2 linked regions of the Schizosaccharomyces pombe genome follow. The gene in region 1 interacts genetically with each later gene. Each region holds a gene or a part of one and is shown on either strand. Other genes may lie near its edges.

Region 1 (3,871 bases):
AGTTTGAATGGAAGTAAGTTCTAATGCTTGCACAAAGTTTCTCAACATGTTACCGTTAACTTCACACAACTTTTCTTCATTATTTTCTTCTTTATAAGCTGCAAAGTATGCATAATTTATTCCCTTAACCCCCTCGAGAGAAAACTTTTTTGCAATATCTTTGGGTTCTTCATTTAGCAGATCTATGGAATGATGCTTGATTTTTCTAGGGTATTCATCTTTCAACGAACGAGAAATACAGTGTATAGTTTTGCAATTATCATCCTCTGACAGTCTCTTAATAATAGCTGCACCATTTAATCCTGTTGCCCCAGTCACTATAGCCACGTAACCTTCTTCTGCCATTGTGTTTCTAACTTTGAATATCTTTTAAGAAATCTCGCATATATGAAATATATATATATATATATATATATATATATATATATAGCATTTATGCTTTAATTTATACCCAAATTTTATGATCTCATTCACTTTTGCTATATCACTAGTAACATCATCCATACTATAGACTTGTTCTAGTTTGTGAAATTCACAATAGCTAGTGAACACATGTCGGTGTGATAATAACAGTATGATGTTGCAAGTATGTATGGTCATATTTGATTGAGGTATGAAATACAAAAGGTATTTTAATAATGCTGACTATATGTAGGGACGCTGTTAGAGCTTAGCAAGCAAGTTGAATACAGAGAAATCGAGGCACCATTGCAGTGATGCCCCTTGCGACTGATGGAAAAACATAACAATGAATATTTATCTAATTGTTTTAGAACACCTGACTATAAACTGTTAACTTTATGGGAAGGTTGCTTGGAAGGTTGCTTGGTTGGATGGTTAAAAGTCATTTTTGAAACCTCACAAGCTGTTCGTAATTAGTTCAAAAACTAACAATCTAAAATAAAAAGGAAATAATAAATAAATCCAATAAAATCCAGCTACTAACAAAAACAATAAATTGTTCCACTATTAACTCTCGCTATTCTAGAAATTTAAGTGTCATTAATATTGGTCTTTAAAGCTCAAGTTGCTATTTACAACCGTCTCTTAGTCATCGAAATAAAACTAATGATCGATCTTTGAAGCCATCAATTATACGCTTTCATCAATGTCGAATTCATCAAGGCATTTAGCAGGTAGAGTAAAAAAAGAATCGTTACAAAAATGGATGGTTCATGTCTTGCGAAGAGATTGTGAAACTTTTATGGCAGCCTCCGCTGTAGATTTAGCACTCATTGGATTCACACCTGTTACAATTCTTCCATCTACCTGAGTGAAATCGGACATCGGGGTAGGCGGGTCAACGAACTCTGCACCGGCTTCTCTAAACAAGCTGTTCAGATCTTGCATGTTCCTTTCTCTCAAAGCACTTGATACACCCATTACAAGCTCTCCAGTACTATTGAAGGCGGTAACCTTCTTACCATATACGACGGAACGTCCTTCTGGTGACTTGGTGTCATCTACAAAAGGCAGCATAACTGGACCGTGGCAGACGGCAGCAAGTACACCATTGCTTGCATAAATTTGTTGAGCAAGCGTTTGCAAATTTGTGGCATGTGGTAGATCAAACATGGCTGCATGACCTCCTGCAATAAACATGATACAGAACTCTTTGTAGTTAATTTTATCGGCAGGCTTAATATCCTTCAGCGCATACCAAAACTCATTATCCTTGTTGTCAAAAGCATCCCTCTCCACTTCACCCAAGGCAGATTTTTTGATTGAATGGTCGTCGAATTTACATTTTCCTGTTTCTGAAGTTAGTTGAACTTCATAACCCGCTTCTCTGAAAACTTGATAGGGAATCAAAAGTTCCGCAAAGTGAACTCCAGTATTCATTCCATCTGGATAAAATGGTCCATAGTAACTGCTTGCCACGAGAAGTACTTTTCCTTCTGATGCCATGGTGTATAATGAATGGGTGATCTTTGCAGCTTCACCTCAATAAATAACAAATTTTAAAAAAACATCACTTAATTGCAAAAGCGGGATGAATTTCCATTACGACTACTCACGTAATCTATTTACCAGGTTCTTGGATTTCTATAGAAAGAGTGACGAGGGCATTGTGTCAATATGATGTTAAATTCATCTTAAAATCAGATGGATACGTTTGAATCTAAAGTGGTTTCGGCACAATTCTATTCTATTGTGTAGAAGGACATTGCGATCGCTACTGAGAAAATGCAAATCTCTTTGTATTGTTTAGTGTATAAGTTTCATCTTGATTTGAGAGATTTGCTTCAAGGACTTTTTGCTAGTTTCAATTATCATCATGATTTTCCTCATACGTTTTAGGATTGTGAGCGATGCGTAATTAAAATTTCGTAGTCTATGATTGTGAACGGAAATTTTTTAAAGTACTTTATTACTATATGAACATACCAAGCTAGAATGTTGCTCGTTTCAAAAGACAACTGTAAATTTGATCTATTCAATTGGAGTTTATTGAATATTCAGATAAAATAAGAGGTTTAAGTTTTTTTCATTTACACTCGCCAACCGCAACTTTAATTATATTTTTTCTTTTTTTGCTCTTCAGTATGCCACGTTATACTGTTTTACGTTTAGATTAGAGCTCGAATAATTTTATACCAACAACGCCTCTATATTCGAAATCATTAAAAAGATAAGATGTCAACTACTTACATTGCGCTATAATACACTGCGTTGCGTATCACTATATGTCATATGTTAAGATACTACTGCACCACACATTAGTGAAAAGCACAGATAAACTATCTGTCTATCTACATAGATAGCAACTATTAGAAAGATTATAAATAGAGCTACAATTGACCCTCGTTTCTCATTTCAGTTATTAGCTATTAGCTATATGGTCACCGATACTAATAGACTTCATATAACAATTAATATACATTGTTAGTTAAATATTGCATACCGCTATATTGTAGGTCGCAAATAAAACTCACCGCAGTTCTATGTATCGTTAAACAGGTTCCAAACAGCGTAGCTGACAGAAACTGTATTTTAATTGTCTACTGAAACATAAAAACAGTTGATTGAGAATATATTTTGCCCAATAAAATATTGAAAGTTCTGGATGTGTTCCTTGCTTGCAAAAATTTGTATTTCGTTCTTTCTCTTACACTCATTCGTAACTTATACCTACTAAACAATCGTGGCGACTGTGTGGATAACGTATATGCGGAAATATACTACAATTGAATTTGCCATGGTCTTTACCGTGTTTAATTAAATGTGGTTTCTAATTGTTTCATATACATTTCAATTGAGGGGATACTAGAGAAACGTAAATAATGAGTATCCCATTTTTTACTGGAGAAACAACATATTCATTTGCTTCTTGCGTGAGCTATTCAGGACATTATTGTGTTTCCATATATCCCATTTGATATTAAAAGAATTATTCTGAAAACGAAAACATTGTTTACTATTGCACTAGTTAACCAACGTTTGTTTACGCTTTAAAGCAGTTTTGCACAAGTGCATTTTCTTGATGTTGAAAAGTAGACTTTCACAGATTTAGATCTCTTTTAGTAAGAAAAAAATAGGGTAATAAATAAATTTTTTTAAACTACTTTTTATTAAGCGTTTTTGATGTTGAGGTTTTTAGGAATAAACTCTGCTAGTATTATTTCAAACATTAACCATGCGTAAATTTTAGTACCAACATTTGTTAATCATATATGTTAACGATACTTAGCAAGTCGATATTTATTTAGTGAAGTTTAGGAATGTCGGTTACGGCGAAGATTAATTTCATTACTGTCGGCTAACCTCTTTTATTTCAGTATTTGGACTAATGAGCCACATGGATAGTGAACGCTTGCTCTTCAAACGCTATTTACAAAGATTATTCATCACGAGAATACTTACGTTGATC
Region 2 (4,097 bases), on another chromosome or scaffold:
TTAGAAGGCTTTACCATAATTAAAGTTCCTAAAACTGTGGATTGTTTGCAAGGAATTTTGAATGTCATTCCTTTTCAACTTCTAAGCTATTGGTTAGCTGTTAAACGTGGCCACAATGTTGATCAGCCACGCAATTTGGCTAAATCAGTTACGGTGGAATAAATTTGATTATCCCTCATTGTTTATTATTATGTGGTTTTTACGCTTCACGTCGCTTGTCATGTTTTTGGCATCCTTTAAGGGGCACAAGCCAATCTTTTTGTCGTTCATTAAATTAATAGAAAAGGATGGGTTGCCGGTTCACGAGGATGTACATGTGTTTATTTCATGGAAGATATTCTTTTTATATGCATTTTTAATTTAATCTGATTTAGTTTGCAATGAAGGCATAGTTGCTTAGTTTTGCAGTGTATCAGATTTTTTGTTTTGGTTTAATGTTATCTCTTGGAAACTAATGATGGTCATTTAACGAAAACAATGCTGCATAATTGGGAGTTCTCATATTGAATATCAATTCATGATTATGCTCTTTTAAGTTGATTTTGAATGTGGAAGTTTTGTAACTATATCGTAATAATTTCTGTGCTTCTATTAAATTACGTTTCTGCAACTGCAAATGGAATATTTGAAAACTTATTCTAATATTCCTATATTGCTACTTCATCATGAAGTTGTTGCTATAAAAATTACTCTAGTTTGAGGGAGGGAACCCAAATCGTGGTTTCTTCCTATAGAATGAGTGTACAATTACAATAGTGATGTACTAAACGTAATTTCCTACAAAAAAATGAGTAAGTTCTCTTCTTTTACTTTGTTATTTTATTACCCGTTACAAAGATATTAGGGTTGATTCTATTTCAATTCCTGTCCGAACTGAAGGTAATGGATATCGAAAATCACTAAATGAAAAAAAGGAGAATATAGATACTTAAATTTCATAGCGAAAATAATATATTTCTACCTCAAAAAAAAAACATGTACTAAAAATTCTCCCCACACCACTTTCAAACATAATCAACGTTTCTAAAAAGACAAGGCGTCACTGTTTACTTCTGTTCAATGACCTCAACCCAGTAATTATCAGGGTCCAGTAAGAAAGCAATATCCTTCATTCTGCCATCGGTCAATTTCTTCTTGAATGGTAGCCCCTCAGCTTCAAATTTAGAGCAAGCTGCATTAATATTGTCAACGGAAATACAAACATGACCATAACCCTTTTCATCGCCGTCATTGCCATTATGGTAAACGGGTCCTGACTCCTTTTCAGTACCCCAGTTATGAGTCAATTCAAGTAATCCCTCACGATCATGTCTGGGCAAGTCGCTAGGATAGGCCAAGAAATAATTGGTGAACTTACCATTGGGATGATCCGCTTTGTCAATTACCTTCATTCCAAGTTTCTCATAAAAGGCGATACTAGGTTCGGGATCCTTAACACGGACCATTGTATGATTAAAACGAAAGTTAGAAATATTAGCTTTGGGCTTAGTTTCAGATTGAGAAACAAGCTCAATCCAGTAATTGTCAGGATCCAAGGCAAAAGCGATGTGTTTCATCTTACCATCGGAAAGCTTTTTCTTAAAAGAAACCCCCTTGGATTCCAAATATGCGCAAGCAGATTCAATGTTATCAACAGTAAAGCAGATGTGTCCAAATCCTCTCTTAGGCTCGGTATTACCATTGATATAAACAGGGCCTTCCTTCTTCTCAGTGCCAAAGTTATAAGTCAGTTCCAATATACCTTCACGCTTACTACGTTCCACTCCGTGATTTAGAGCTCCAGGTCCATCGAAAGCTAAAAACGACAAAGAGAATTCATTTTCCTCGAAAACCCATTGATCAATGAGTTTCATACCAAACACCTCGGTATAAAATTTGAGACTCTTGTCGAGGTCTTTCACACGAATCATAGTGTGATTTAGTTTGTAAGTACTCATGTCAGTAGTAGAAGCCATATTCGTAAAGAAGATACCCGTTAAGTTGTAAATTTATATATATAAACTTATAGCAACGTTGTTGACGAGGATGAATCAAAAAACTGAATATAAACAGCAAAAAGATTGATGTGTATTGAAGCAGAAACACAAAGAAATTTCAAGTTTAAAAAATTACCGAAGTAAGTTTATATCAATGATGTGGAAGATGCTAACCAGTAGATTTCTAAAGAATTGATGTCATGTACGAGTCCATTGGCTTTCGTTATAGAACTTATAGATTTATATCACAATATCGTTATTAAGATTTACGTGCTAATGGGGTATGTGATAATAATGAATCTTCAAATTGCTAAGTATATAGCTTTCATTGTAAATAAAGAAGAAATTAGTATACAAAGAGAATATCAGCGTTCTGATTAGTCAATTTTACATTAAAATATTATGAAGAGAAATAATTTAATTAAAAAGAGAGAAACAAACCTATCTGTAGCTAAACAATCGTTTGTAATCCAATCTGTTATCATAATTAAGTCTCAAAGTGTGCTCTCTCTGATGCTAGTGTAAAGAAGGATACACAACTTCCTCAAAGCAAAAAATAAAATAAAATAAAATATTTAGCGAATCCGTTTAAATATGATAGTGGTGGAACCTGAAGAACAATATGACTCATCACCATCATGGAACTCAAAAGTATATAACATAAACTTGTAAATAAAATCTAAATGTAAACAAAAATCTGATATGACTTATCTACCAATATGTAGAAAATCAGAATCCCCTTAGGATATAATTTATGAACGATCAACAGAGGTATGTAAATAAAACTGTTTGATCCTCAGCGAGCACCAGAATCCAGCAAAAGCTATAATTGCAACTAAGGCAAAAGTCCATGTGAAAGCAGTGGCATACGACTTTATGACTAGCTTTTGGATATCTTTGGGGAGATTTGGAATGATGCTTATACTTTCTCGAAGACGTCGAATCAAATCATCTTTATCCGGATCGTCCTTTAAGTTGGAGGCTAACTGCTTCATAAGGATTGAAAGAGTTGTTGTTTGGGAAAGACTGATACCAATGACGCTACCTGTTGCACGGAAAAGATAGGAAAGGCCTGTAGCAACAGCTTGTTCTTCTGGGGCTAAAGAACTGATAATAGCAATAAGGGTAGAAGTTAGGTTCATTCCATAAGAACATCCGGTCATTGCCAAACAGAGAGAAATTAATATTAAGGGTGTTCTGTGACCGAAAGAAGTAAGAACAGCAAAGGAAACAATACCCATCAACATGAAAAAAAATCCAGCAATAACCAAATTTCTATACCTGCCAGTTTTCTTCATGTATAAGCCTGAACAAAGAGATCCAACAGATGTGGAGATAACGTAAGGAAAGATACGAACACCGGCCTCAGACGATGGCATTAATAGCGTCGTTTCGAAAAATAAGGGTAATTCGTAGACAATGACAAAACTGCAAAACGCATTGAAAAAGTTACCCAAACAGACATTCAAGGGAGTAGGCTGAGATAGGATCTCCACAGGCGCAATTGGTTCAACAGCAATATTCTTTTCGACCCAGTAAAATGCGAACAAAATAAGGACAGAAGATACAAGCAAAGTAATGATAACTGGAGAAACCCAAGGAAATGCGTCCCCGCCCATGTTAAAGGTAACTACCAGTGCCGTAATGCCCGTTACAAGAAGAAAACTGCCTAAGTAATCAATGCGTGAAAGCAACGATGCATTGGAATTTCGAACGGTAGGTTTAACGCGGACACGCCAAGCAACTAGTATGGTGGATAATATTCCCATAGGGACTTGAAAATGAAACGCTGTTCTCCAACCCCATCTTTGAGCAATTAACCCACCCAATGGTCCTCCCAAACTACCTCCGATACCCCAAACAATGTTAGTTATACCTTGCCAGGTACCACGTTCACGCAATGAAACGATGTCACTCGAAATGATGGAAGACATGGTACCAAGACCTCCACCGCCAATGCCGGCGAGAGCGCGAGCCATACACAATTCCGGAAGACTTCTCGATATACCACACCAAAAAGTTCCAAGCGTGAAAGCAGCATTTGCAAATACAACGGTAGGGCGTCGTCCAAAGATGTCACTAAGTCTACCATATAAAGGTTGGAAAGCGGTGTTTGTAATT

The links.
Region 2: of hsp3101 (region 1) and glo1, extra expression of one rescues a mutant of the other (dosage rescue), as found in Schizosaccharomyces pombe (one study listed by BioGRID).

The regions. Positions count from the first base shown.
Region 1 is NC_003421.2:46,568-50,438, forward strand, and holds hsp3101 (glyoxylase III Hsp3101), read right to left. Parts: upstream 1,935-3,871; 5' UTR 1,909-1,934; coding exon 1,174-1,908; 3' UTR 758-1,173; downstream 1-757. Other genes in the region: SPOM_SPCC757.02C (epimarase), read right to left, coding at 1-345. UniProt on the Schizosaccharomyces pombe protein: Catalyzes the conversion of methylglyoxal (MG) to D-lactate in a single glutathione (GSH)-independent step. May play a role in detoxifying endogenously produced glyoxals. Involved in protection against reactive oxygen species (ROS).
Region 2 is NC_003423.3:2,444,556-2,448,652, reverse strand, and holds glo1 (glyoxalase I glo1), read right to left. Parts: upstream 2,097-4,097; 5' UTR 1,956-2,096; coding exon 1,047-1,955; 3' UTR 796-1,046; downstream 1-795. Other genes in the region: gfa1 (glutamine-fructose-6-phosphate transaminase), read left to right, coding at 1-162; vacuolar amino acid transmembrane transporter Fnx1, read right to left, coding at 2,729-4,097. UniProt on the Schizosaccharomyces pombe protein: Catalyzes the conversion of hemimercaptal, formed from methylglyoxal and glutathione, to S-lactoylglutathione.